Linked DNA regions of Oryctolagus cuniculus. The protein of the gene in region 2 binds, or shares a complex with, the protein of the main gene of each other region. Links are inferred from orthologs where the notes say so. Each region holds a gene or a part of one and is shown on either strand. Other genes may lie near its edges.

Region 1 (3,997 bases), on a different chromosome or scaffold from region 2:
ATATTGTTTTCCATTTTTAAGAGGGCTAATGGTAGAAGAAATCCTTTGAAAATATTTTAAGCTTTATCTTTCAATTCTCCTCACCCCTTTTATAAATCCGTTGATTCTTAATAGAGGCTTTCTGAGAGAGTTAGATCTGGTTTCTCAGGCAATCTTAAAATATCATGGGTGTATCACCTGCCTCACAATTACCTGGGGTGACCCACCAGGATAGCAAAGGACTACGGAATTTTACCCAGGATTTCTGGATTTTACCCAGCATTCCAACTGTTTCTTGCACATACCACAGCTGACAAAAATAACCATGTGAATGTATCCATTTCAAGAAAAATATCATGCCCAGTGCAGCCCCCTCTGTCCCTGGAGTCTCCCATTATCTGACCTGGCTTGCCTGACCAAATTCCTAACTCAAGGCAGCATTCCCATCCATTCCTCAAACCCAAGTCTACAGACCTGACCTCCTGCCTCTTCTCCTCCCCCTCCCCCTGCAGAGTCTGCCTTCACCTTGGTGAATGGTGCCACACACCTATCCGGGTCACGCAAGCTGCAAACCTGGCATCAGCCTCAATTCTCTCCTTTCTTTTGATCCCTTCCCGCCCTTACCTCCAACTACACTACCCATCAAGTTGTTTTGTAACCGTTATGAACTGTGTGGCACCCCTTGTGACATCCTGAGCACAGGGGATGCCGTTCTTATTTGTCTCATTCATCAGTGCACTCTCACAGCCTAGCACAGATCCTGTCTCACAACAGGTGCCAAACACACGTCGGCTGAAAAGAAACCAATCACCTGTTGTACTGTATCCTCCGCTTGGAAGGCCCCTACTGACACACCTTCCTGGATGGATCCTCACACCGGGACAAGCCGAGGCTCCTCGGAAGGGGGGGGGGGGGCAGAAAACTCACCGTCTTTCATACTCCATGTCCTGATAGGACCTGCGGGGGCTGCTGGGGCCCCTCCTCTGCCGCTGGCTCCGTTTCACTTCCCAGCCACCCCCGCTGCTGCCACCATGATCTGCCAGCCTGGGTGATGCCTCCTGCAGGGATTCTGGGGAGAGTAGAGGGAAGAAAGGGGTCAAGGCAGTGAGAAACCCTCATTATCAAGGCTCTCTACTGTCCCGTAGCCCACGGATATTGTTTTTCAACGCCCAGTGCTTGTGTGGATCAGGCTACAAGAAGGCAGCCCCAACTTGGGCTGCTCCTTCCTTTACCCACAAACACAAAACTGGAGCCCACAGCCCTGGAAGACAAGGCCTTCATCAGACAGGAGACATCTTGCAGAGAGACCTGGTGGGGCCAGTCATTGTGTGGCCAGGGTTTTGCCATCTGAGCATGGTAGACATGTTCAAGTCTAGGCACAGAGGCAAAACTTTACAATAGTGGGAGATCCGGGCAGGCACTGGGCTCTGTCCATGAGCCCCAAGGTACCATTTCGTTCTCCCAACAAGATGTTGGCTGCCCCCTGCGAGGCAGCAAGACACCCTGAAAGGCTCTGGAGGTGTGTGTGAAGGGGACTACCTCGGCAACAGGACAACTGCTACCTCCCTGGGCTCCTGGCTCTTGCACGGCAACTGGCTCAGCCCCCAGCCCTGTCTCTGATGTGCAGCCGGGTCCCAAGGTGGCTGGCTCCCTAGGGCTCTGAGCCCAAGTGTTCCAGAAGCAAAAGGAGGCCCTTTCTACTGGGCTGGAGCAGTCACTTCATACAACCCTTGGGATTGTGCAAGGTCTAAGACTCCTGATAACTATGTGACAACATAGGCAGGGGTCGGAATGTATCCCACAATCTCCAGGCTCCTCCCTCTCAACAGGAATCGGGTGAAGCCAGGCGGGTAACAGCACCTGCTCAACACGAGGTCGTCGCCACCACACCTTTCCTCCATGTACACACACCAATCTTCTTTTCCTCCCCAAACCACAGGGAACCAGAGTTACCTGCTCCCAATGGGTAAAGTCAGAATCACAACCAGGGGCCCCGGCGATTGCAAGGCAGATGGGAAATCCTCAACAGACTCTGGCATCCACAACAGATACTGGCCAAAATCACAGCCAGACCCCACTGCGAGGGCCTTAATCACACACAGAGCCCCGTTTCAATGGTATGAACTCCTCAAAAGAACGGGAGGTAAGTCTCTCCCCCCCCCCACCACCACACACACACGCTTTCTGCACCCCTCTCCCATCCAATGAGTAAGGGCCCGTCACAGGGTAGCCCCCCCCCCCCACGGATAAGGACCAGAGTCGCCCCTCGCCCCGCCAAGGATAAAGGCCAGAGTTGCACATTTTCCCCTCAGTGCCCGCCCCATGAATAAGGACCAGAGCCGCCGAGCACTTCCCCATGGATCGGTAAGTGCCAAAGTATCACAGAGAGCAGCCAGCACACCTCTTCCCCTATGGATAAACACCCAAGTCGCAGACACCTGCATAAAGTTCTGCAAGCAAACACAGCTACAGTAACCCACTCCCATCCGTCCCTCCCTTCCCCCAGCCCGCGTGCACCCATCCCGTGTCCCAATCGCGCACGCGCCCTAGATTTCACAAGGAGGGGGGGGAAGACACCCCCTCCCGGATTCTGACCGTGCACGCATCCCTGCGATCCACGCGTGCCCCGAGCCCGCAGTCCGCCCTCAATGCCTCATCTGTGCAACCCCCCGCCCGGGACCCCTTACCTCCGCCCCCACGACCAGCGTCGACGCTCACCTTCTCGGCCCGGGCTGTCAAGGGAGGGCTCCCAGGCATCACCTCGGCCCGCCGCCACCTCCTCCAAGTCTCCCAGCTCAGTCGGAGCCGGAGCGCGCAACAATCAAGTCCAAAGCTGGAGGCAGAAAGGAGGGGCAGGAGAAGGGAGAAGCGCCAAGTGCGCTGCCCTCCCAGGGAAACTCACGGCCGCCTACTCCCAGCCGGCCGCAATCAGCAGCACAAAATGGCGACGACAAGAAGGCAGCCGGCGCTCCGACCACCATCCACCTACTAAGGGAGCGCGCTCTGGCCGGCCTCTTCTATTGGTCGCCGCTCGCCGTCGGCCAGCCCTGGCCGCCTCTGATTGGCACGCGTAGGCCACCTCCCCACTCCCCGTGAGAACGCCCCACAAGTCGAGAAAAAGTCGCTATTGGCCAATCCAGCGAGGCCCGCTTTTTAGAAGCTTGGCTTCCTTTGAAGATGAAAGGCAGGCGGAAGCTCCACCTCTTTCCCTAAAGGGCAAGGGAACTCTCTGGGCGATTGGCTGGAAGCCGTGGCCACCCAAATGTCACTGTTTCCTTCCTATCAAGTTATGTGCAGACCTAGCAATAGCAAATTTCTCAAGAGGCCATGACAACAGGAGGGTAAGGGGGCTCTTCCTCGACGCCCCGCCTCACTTGCAAACAAAATCGGACCTGGGACCTATTTAGTGTGGCGGGGTGGAGCGACAATTATCGCGCTCGGACCAACTGCAGCTGCGCACAGTCGCATTTCCGTTCCGCCCCTGAGACCCTGCCGCACTCTTCGTCATGGCGGCCGGGATGTTAGGTTTGTGCGCTCGCCGCTTTTGGGCCGCAGCGGCTACGCGAGCGCTCCCGGCTGTCCGCGCTCGCTGGCAATCCAGCTCCTCCAGGGCTGTGGTCGCCCCGTCCGCTGTGGCGGGAAAGCGGCCTGCAGAACCGACCATACGCTGGCAGGAGGACCCAGATCCCGAGGACGACAACCTCTATGAGAAGGTGAGAGGGAGGGAGGACGGAACGCCGAAAGGGCCAATTGGGGACTGGCGGACGGGGCGCCGCAGAGGACGTTCTGAGGCAGCTGCGGATTGCGCAGCTGGCGAAATCCTTAAAGACGTGGGAATTTTGGTTACTTATTTTCTTCCTTTGTCCCCTGATACCTACGGTCCGGGGCCAGAGGCAGGGTTGGCCTTATTTTGCAAACCTAAAGTCAGAAATGCCGTAAACACTCTGGAAGCAATATAGTAGGGTAACCATGCTAATACTAAAAGCCCCGAGGTGGTGCTTGCCCGGTGCCAGTCTAT
Region 2 (3,500 bases):
CGCTCACTTTAAATGTTACAACCATTTGCCTCTAAAGATATGTTTCACCCATATCATCTTTCATTTTGGTATAGGAACAGGACTGTTTGGTTTGTCATATTGCACTTCAGCATAGGATACCACGTGTAGCAAAACCTCAAATATTAACTAATCAAGAGAAATATTCTCAGTTATTTTATACTAATTACTGCTATAGGCAACGGTGGCTATAATATTTTCAGGTTCTATATTAGTTTTACAGCATTCAGCTTGTGTAACATAGATTATTAAGACACAAGTTATCATAAGACTTTCTTTTTCCACTTCCCAAGTCAGCCAGACAAGATACCTGTGCGTGCGTTTGCTTTATTGTTTTCAAGTCTTCAGTTAAGTTTTCACATAATTTCTGTGATTCAACCAAGGAAGAAATTGTATTGTCTTGCAGTTCATGTAGATTGTTACACAGCGTACTGAGAAAACCATCCATTTCCTTTTTCTGATCTTCTATCTTTGAGAAAAAAAAATATTAGCTTCTTTCTAAAACAATAAAGTAATTTTGAGATAATTAAGAACATAACATTTGTTACCTTATCAGCTACTGTCAATGCAGTCTTGAAAACATGCTTTAGCTGACTATTGATTTTCAATATAGACACCAGAGTAGGGGATAAAATCGTTTCCAGTGAACTTAGGAGGTCAGTCTTAAGTACATTCTAGTTTTAAAAATAAACAAACAGATCTTTTAAAAGGCGTATTTTCATAGCCTGGATGGTTAGATTACATTTAAAATACTTTTGAAAAACATACACATTAAAATTCTAAGTTTACATTCTCTGTTCTTCATAGCCTACAGAGATGTATCTATATGCCTAGTGTTTACATTCAGCGTAAACCCCCTTAGTTCTGCCTCTAGTAATTAATGGTCACTTAGTATACAATAAATTTTTTCTTTATTTTTTTTGACAGGAAGAGTGGACAGTGAGAGAGAGAGAGACAGAGAGAAAGGTCTTCCTTTTGCCGTTGGTTCACCCCCAATGGCCGCTGCGGCCGGTGTACCGCGCTGATCCAAAGCCAGGAGCCAGGTGCTTCTCCTGGTCTCCCATGGGGTACAGGGCCCAAGCACTTGGGCCATCCTCCACTGTACTCCTGGGCCACAGCAGAGAGCTGGACAGGAAGAGGAGCAATCGGGACAGAATCCGGTGCCCCGACCGGAACTAGAACCCAGGGTGCCGGCGCCGCAGGCGGAGGATTAGCCTAGTGAGCCGCGGTGCGCACCTACAATAAATTCTTAAAGAGTCTAATGAAACACATGTTAGAAGAATTCAAAAAAGGAAAAAAGTGACAATGAATTGGTAAGATTTCAGTATTCCAAATAGAAAATTTTAAAAATTTCAAACAAGTTTAAGTCATTTGTCAAAAAGACCAAGACCAAAAAGTCATCATGAGTAGGCTTTGGGATGGAGGTATTTAACTCTGGAGATTGTTGACTTATATCCTATTGTATCAGAACCTGTTAAGGTTCTTAAACTTGTCAATGCATATGAAAAGTAAATAATAAAGTGCAGACTGGGAAGTTTCATGAAAAACAAAAAATCCAGAGTAAAGATCTTTTCACCAGGGCAGAGGAAAAAAAAATAAAAACAGAAAATCTATAATAGAAATAATTTATAAATACTTTTTTAAAAGGCCACTGGTAATCTTTTGGAAGGAAGAGCTATCATACTAATTACAATTAATTCTGTAAGAACAGCAGTCATCTCTTCTTTTGATTCAAGTAATGTCTTTAACTTGGTACACAGGAAGACATCAATAAATACAGACCACAATATCTGAATCAATCAATTTCTAGAAAGTTAATGCTAACTGAATACTTTGTCAAATTCAGATTAAAGATAATAACCATTCATACCCTCCTAGAAAGAAGCAACTTGTATCAAGTTATAAGAGAGGCAACATGCTCACTTTAAAGTGGTCATTTAGATTGAAGAAACCTATCAAATAGTGTTACATTGCATGAACCTAAGCAGATCAGCTGATATTTCTAATATTTACTTGGAAAATGTTTAATAAAAATATTGTTAACCTCAAAAAGGGAGGCAGAGAACCTGTATGAAGGAAAGAACAAAATTAGTGCAATGGCAAACTGCCTAGACAAACCTTGCAAATACAAAATAGAATATATGTAAGTCATGTATCAAGGAGGCAATATTAACTGCAATTAGGTTAGTGACTTCTACAGAACTGTGGGGAAAAAAAATTTAGTTATAAGATCCAGAAGGGCTTGGTCACACAGATCTAACCCCAAGAATTTTAAATGTATTCCGAGAATTCTTTAGTCATTAAAAAGTTTATAAATAACTCCTACTTGTTAACACTATAAAATATGAGTAAAAGTTTTCAAATGTTGGTTATACACATTTGGAAATCAATCTTCCTGGGAGGAAAAAAAAAAACAATGCAGAGATTGGTCTTTAAAAATATAAACAGAGAGGCCAGAGCTGTGGCTCACTTGGCTAATGCTCTGCCTGTGGCAAAAGCATCCCATATGGGCGCCGGGTTCTAGTCCCAGGTGTTCCTCTTCCAGTCCAGCTCTCTGCTGTGGCCCGGGAGGGCAGTGGAGGATGGCCCAAGACTTGGGCCCTGCACCCGCATAGGAGACCAGGAGAAGCACCTGGCTCCTGGCTTTGGATAGGCACAGCGTGCCGGCCGTGGTAGCCATTTGGGGGGTGAACCAATGGAAGGAAGACCTTTCTCTCTGTCAAAAAAAATAAATAAATAAAATAAAACTATATATATATATATATATATATAGACAGAGGTCAGTTCTGTGGCAAAGCAGGTTAACTGCCATCTGCAGTGCTGGCACCCCATATAAACTCTGGTTCAAGTCCCAGCTAATTCACTTCTAATCCAGCTCCTTGCTAATGTGCCTGGGAAAGCAGCAGAAGACAGCCCAAGCACTTGGGCCCTTGCACCCACGTAGGAGACCTAGAAAAAACTCCTGGCTCCTGGTTTTGGATTGGCCCAGCTCCAGTCATTGCAGCCATCTGGGGAGTGAAACAGCAGATGGATGATCTCTCTGCCTTGCCTCTCTCTCTGTGTAACTCTGCCTTTCAAATAATAAATAAATCTTTAAAAAAATAAATTCTTGAAGTGATACATGTGTCACTATTTAACAAAGCTGAAGATGAAAGAATACCAGTTAATATTGCTTTAAAGACTTAACAAATGTAACCCTTAAAAATATTTTAAGAGATTTACTAACAATCAATTTCTGTAGTACAGTTTTACTTTCTGCTGCTAATGATTGTTCTTTCAGTATCATATTAGAAATCTGAGAAACACAAGTAGACACATTTTCTGGAACAGATGTGAGAGATCCAAGTGCTGTTGTAGTAATGGTGTCTAACGCAAAGACACTGGAAGACAGCAGATTACCTATAACAAAAAAATAAATAAAAATATAAAACGACATAAATATACTTAAGCAGTTAGAACCACTTTAAAGAGGTTACCAAAAT
Region 3 (4,007 bases), on a different chromosome or scaffold from region 2:
ATGGTGGCCAGGACCCAGTACCTGAGCCATCATCTGCTGCCTCCCAGTGTGTATACTAGTGGGAAGCTGGATCAGAAATGGAGGTGGCACTTGAACCCAGACACTCTGATATGGGATGTGGGCATCCCAGATGGCAGTTTAACCTGCTGTGTCACAATGCCTACCCCATATTTGGTGAATGAAATGAACAAGGTATGTGAGGCATGGACCACAAAGTTCTCTACTAGTTAGAAAATGAATATATACACACACACACACACACACACACACACGTATTTAAAAATAACTGGAGAATGCAGGGAATACATGATCAGATCTGTATAAAAGACTAGCTTCCTGAAAGAACTGAAGGGGGCCAAGGTGACAGAAGAGCAAAGAGGAAGCAACTATAAAAATATTGGAGAAAGGTGACAGCTTATACCTAGGGAACAAGCAATCTAACAGGATTGAATATATAATGGGAGTGAATATATCTGAAAAGATATTTAGACAGAAACAACAGGCCCTTAATAACCAACAGGATGAGGGCAGTGAAAGGAGAGAAACTAGGAAAAGGGATGAAGCTTAGGTCTGTGTCTTAGGTGACTGGGTTGATTCTGGTGCCACGTACTGAATTAGGGAACACTGCAGACACGTTTGGTGGGGGAGATTTATAAGCTGAGACGGAGATGCTGTGTAAAGTCCAAGTACAGACAGATTCAGAGAGCTGGGCAAATGACTCTGAAGCTCAGAAGAAAGGTCGACGTTGGTCAAAGATTTGGGAAATAACAGCAAGTACTAGGTTGAACGTAGGAAAACTACCATTTTTGTAGGTAAAAAAATGGTCAACCTCTGCCAAAATTTCAGATGGTTCAATGTAACAGAAATCGTGGGTCTTGAGAGATTGTATCATCAGGAACTGCGTGATCAGTATATATAAGTCCTACAAAACCCCTTTTAACACAATGATAAAGAACAAGCAGAAGGAAAGGTGGATGAGACTGGTAAGAGTACAAGGAAACTCAAAGTTTCAATGCCATCTTTTAACATTGAAACCTAGCACTTAGCAAGCACTTGACAGGATATTTTAAATCAATCTCCAAGGGTTCCACAGGTGCTATCATCAGCTATAACTACACACTGCATGGATACCATTCACACTAAATTCTGTATGACTACAGCCCCAATACCTTGGGCATTAATCATCAGAACATACTATTAACAATGCTCCTTAGAGTTGTGTAAGGCCAAGGGTCTAACCATCAGGAACCATCACCTCTGTAAGAGACTAAGGTAACCACTGCCTCTGGAGACCCAAGACTCAAGTAAAACAGAAAGATGAAAAGAAAGAGAAAAAGGAGAAAAATTAAAATAAACCCCGAAGAAGCCAGCCAGCATCCTCAGATAATCTTTAGTATTTCCAAAATGAGAACTCACTTCTTTCTGGACTGCATACCTATCTTACTGACTTGTGAAAAGTAAATATCAAACATGGAAAAGAACTTGGTCAGGATTTAAACACTACATGAATAAGAACAATTATTCTTGTTACAGGCTTTGGATTTCTTTGCCTAAAGATTTGATGGAGACTGGTGTGTGAGTTTAATTACCATCATAGTGCTTTACAATGCTTTGGAGTGGGTAAGACATTTATGTATCTTCGTGCTTCATGGGCAGGTTGGTACTCCTATTCAGGGGCCCTGAAATTAGGCTGTGTTACATGAAATTGCCTCTTTAAAGGTCAAAAATGATCTAACACTGGGCAATTTCCTTTAGTTCAGATTCCAGTAAGTCGACAATTTTATAAGCAACATAGCTGGTTGCATTGAGAACCTGGTTCTTCCGATTCCCACCTAGTGCAGATCTCTTCCATGACTGAAAGACGACTCATTTCTTACAGACCCAGGAGTCAAAGAAAGTTCTGTTTCAAACCGCACTGATCTTTTCTGCAGGAATCGGTGTTGAACAAAGTGTGGTCCCTCACTGGATCCTCACATCCCTTACCATCCCGAAGGGTAACGGGTTGGAAAAGGACACAATGACAGGGCACCTACCATATGCTCATTATTTCATTTGATCTTCAACAACAACTTTATGGGGTACTTATTATCATTCTCAATTTAAACGAACGGTCCGAGGCTCACAAGGTAAGCGCCTCGCCCAAGGTCACACTGCTGGTAACTGGTAGGGCCAGCGAATGCAGAAGGAAAACCCAGAACTGTCAAACTCTAAAATCCGGCCCCCTCTCTTTAAGCAGTTTCTCAGGAAGTTTTTCACGGTTATCTCTAGGTTGAAGAAGGGAGAAACGACTAGCTCAAGATCCTAGGGGTTGCAACCCAGGAACTGGAGTCTCTGAGCTAAGTCTCGTCCAGCGGCCAGATTCTGGAAAGATGGAAACATCAGAAGGAACCTAACTGTTGGAACAAGTGCAACGTGCTAGTTAAACTACGCCCTCACAGCACTGCGGTAAAAGGTCAAAGAGCTGTCCCGACGCTTCAGCACCTGAGCCCCAGGCACCAACACGCTTGGCTCCGAGCAAGCCAGACGGCGGAACCGGCGCGGCGCCTTCCGGGCCGCCAGCACACCCAGATCTGGGGAATGTATTCCCCTTCCTGATCTCTTGTAGGACCTGTGGGCTCTCCTGGGTCCTCTCCCCGCCTCCACGCCCCGCCCAGCCCCGGAGAGACCCAGGATCTCCGCCTCACCCCGGCTGTGCCGCTGCTGCCACCACATCCCCTTCGATATCCACATCCGCCTCCTCAGCCGCCATGATGAGACCTGACCCCGTCTGTCCTCCCGCGAGATCTCGCGAGAGGGGGAAGAGCCCGGGGGCAGGGCCGAATGCGTCACGGGGCGGGGCTGGAGCCACATCTAGTCCCTTCCGTGCTGGGGAGGCGTGGCTTCCGGAGGAAAGGCGTTCCCGGAGACCCGGGAAGGTTTTGAGGTTGCTGTTTTAAAATGTCTGTTGAGTAGGATTGGGGATTGGCAGAAAGTAGGGTATATAGTCAAAGTAAAGGTGAAATGAAGGTGCCTATCACTGATCTTTACGGAGCAGGCGGGGATGGGGAGCCCGGCAGGACTGCCTGGATACACATCACAGCATTGAGAAAGATGCCTGCTAGCCCGGAACATGCACTACCGTGTGAACAGTGTCGCCTGCACTGCAGCAATGAAGAGTTTTCAGGTCCAGCCCAGGCATCAGTGGAAGCAAGGAAGGGCCTGGCCAGAATTCAGTTTCCCCAAGTCATTTCAAGCCCTCCCTCCCCAGAGACGATAATATGAAGTCTGTCCTCAACCCCTCGACCAACATACCCCACACTATGCTCTGGGCTAATTAGATTGATGTGGACCTGGCTCTCTGAGGGTCTAGGCTAACCCCACCCGACAGGATGATGCTGCACCCTCACCTTCAGGTGAACTCCAGAGGCCTGGTCTGTTTAAACTGTCCCGTTCTACAGGCCTGCAACCCTGGGACTTGTGGCAAGACCCATGTTTCTCATCAAGTAGTTTGGAAGCAGAATGAATTAGTATTTCAGAAATACTTGTTGCATTCCTCCTGTGCTGAGGAAATGGCATTGAATAAGATGGACTCAGCGTCTGCCCTCAAAGAGCCGCTCAAGCAGGCGATTTCAAGGCGAGGTAATAAGCTTCCTGGCAAGACTTCGGGGCTCATAGGGGATCACAGAGGAGGGGCGGCTTAGCTGGAGTGAACTCCGCCCCTGTACCATACTTCGGAAGAGTTCGATGATTGGTCAGATTCTGAAAGCGGCGCTCTAGATTTGGGGGAATACAAGATAGAAAGTCTCTAACTTCAAGGAAGTGTGGATACACAGAGAAGTACCCATGGAAAAGATTAGTGTCTGTTCCTGAGTAAAGCCAGGAATGGTGGCTACTCTTCTGGCCGGATGGAAAATCTCAGTCTGAAGGGTACTGTGTTAGGAAACTGGACGCCAGTTTCATCTATGGCACCATCTACACCCTGATTTACATCCCAAGCTTTAGCCCCCTCCGCCATTGCTGAAAGCCAG

The links.
Region 1: KIF11 (region 2) and RBM10 share a complex: the UniProt entries of both Homo sapiens proteins name them as parts of the large chromatin remodeling complex. The link is inferred for Oryctolagus cuniculus from reciprocal best matches to the Homo sapiens genes KIF11 and RBM10.
Region 3: KIF11 (region 2) and MYSM1 share a complex: the UniProt entries of both Homo sapiens proteins name them as parts of the large chromatin remodeling complex. The link is inferred for Oryctolagus cuniculus from reciprocal best matches to the Homo sapiens genes KIF11 and MYSM1.

The regions. Positions count from the first base shown.
Region 1 is NC_091453.1:32,690,696-32,694,692, reverse strand, and holds the start of RBM10 (RNA-binding protein 10), read right to left. Parts: upstream 2,801-3,997; 5' UTR 2,737-2,800; coding exon 2,667-2,736; intron 1,049-2,666; coding exon 907-1,048; intron 1-906. Other genes in the region: NDUFB11 (NADH dehydrogenase [ubiquinone] 1 beta subcomplex subunit 11, mitochondrial), read left to right, coding at 3,486-3,692. UniProt on the Homo sapiens protein: Binds to ssRNA containing the consensus sequence 5'-AGGUAA-3'. May be involved in post-transcriptional processing, most probably in mRNA splicing. Binds to RNA homopolymers, with a preference for poly(G) and poly(U) and little for poly(A).
Region 2 is NC_091446.1:37,973,066-37,976,565, forward strand, and holds part of KIF11 (kinesin-like protein KIF11), read right to left. Parts: intron 3,418-3,500; coding exon 3,245-3,417; intron 693-3,244; coding exon 567-692; intron 488-566; coding exon 329-487; intron 1-328. UniProt on the Homo sapiens protein: Motor protein required for establishing a bipolar spindle and thus contributing to chromosome congression during mitosis. Required in non-mitotic cells for transport of secretory proteins from the Golgi complex to the cell surface.
Region 3 is NC_091438.1:114,346,478-114,350,484, reverse strand, and holds the start of MYSM1 (deubiquitinase MYSM1), read right to left. Parts: upstream 2,801-4,007; 5' UTR 2,750-2,800; coding exon 2,685-2,749; intron 1-2,684. UniProt on the Homo sapiens protein: Metalloprotease with deubiquitinase activity that plays important regulator roles in hematopoietic stem cell function, blood cell production and immune response.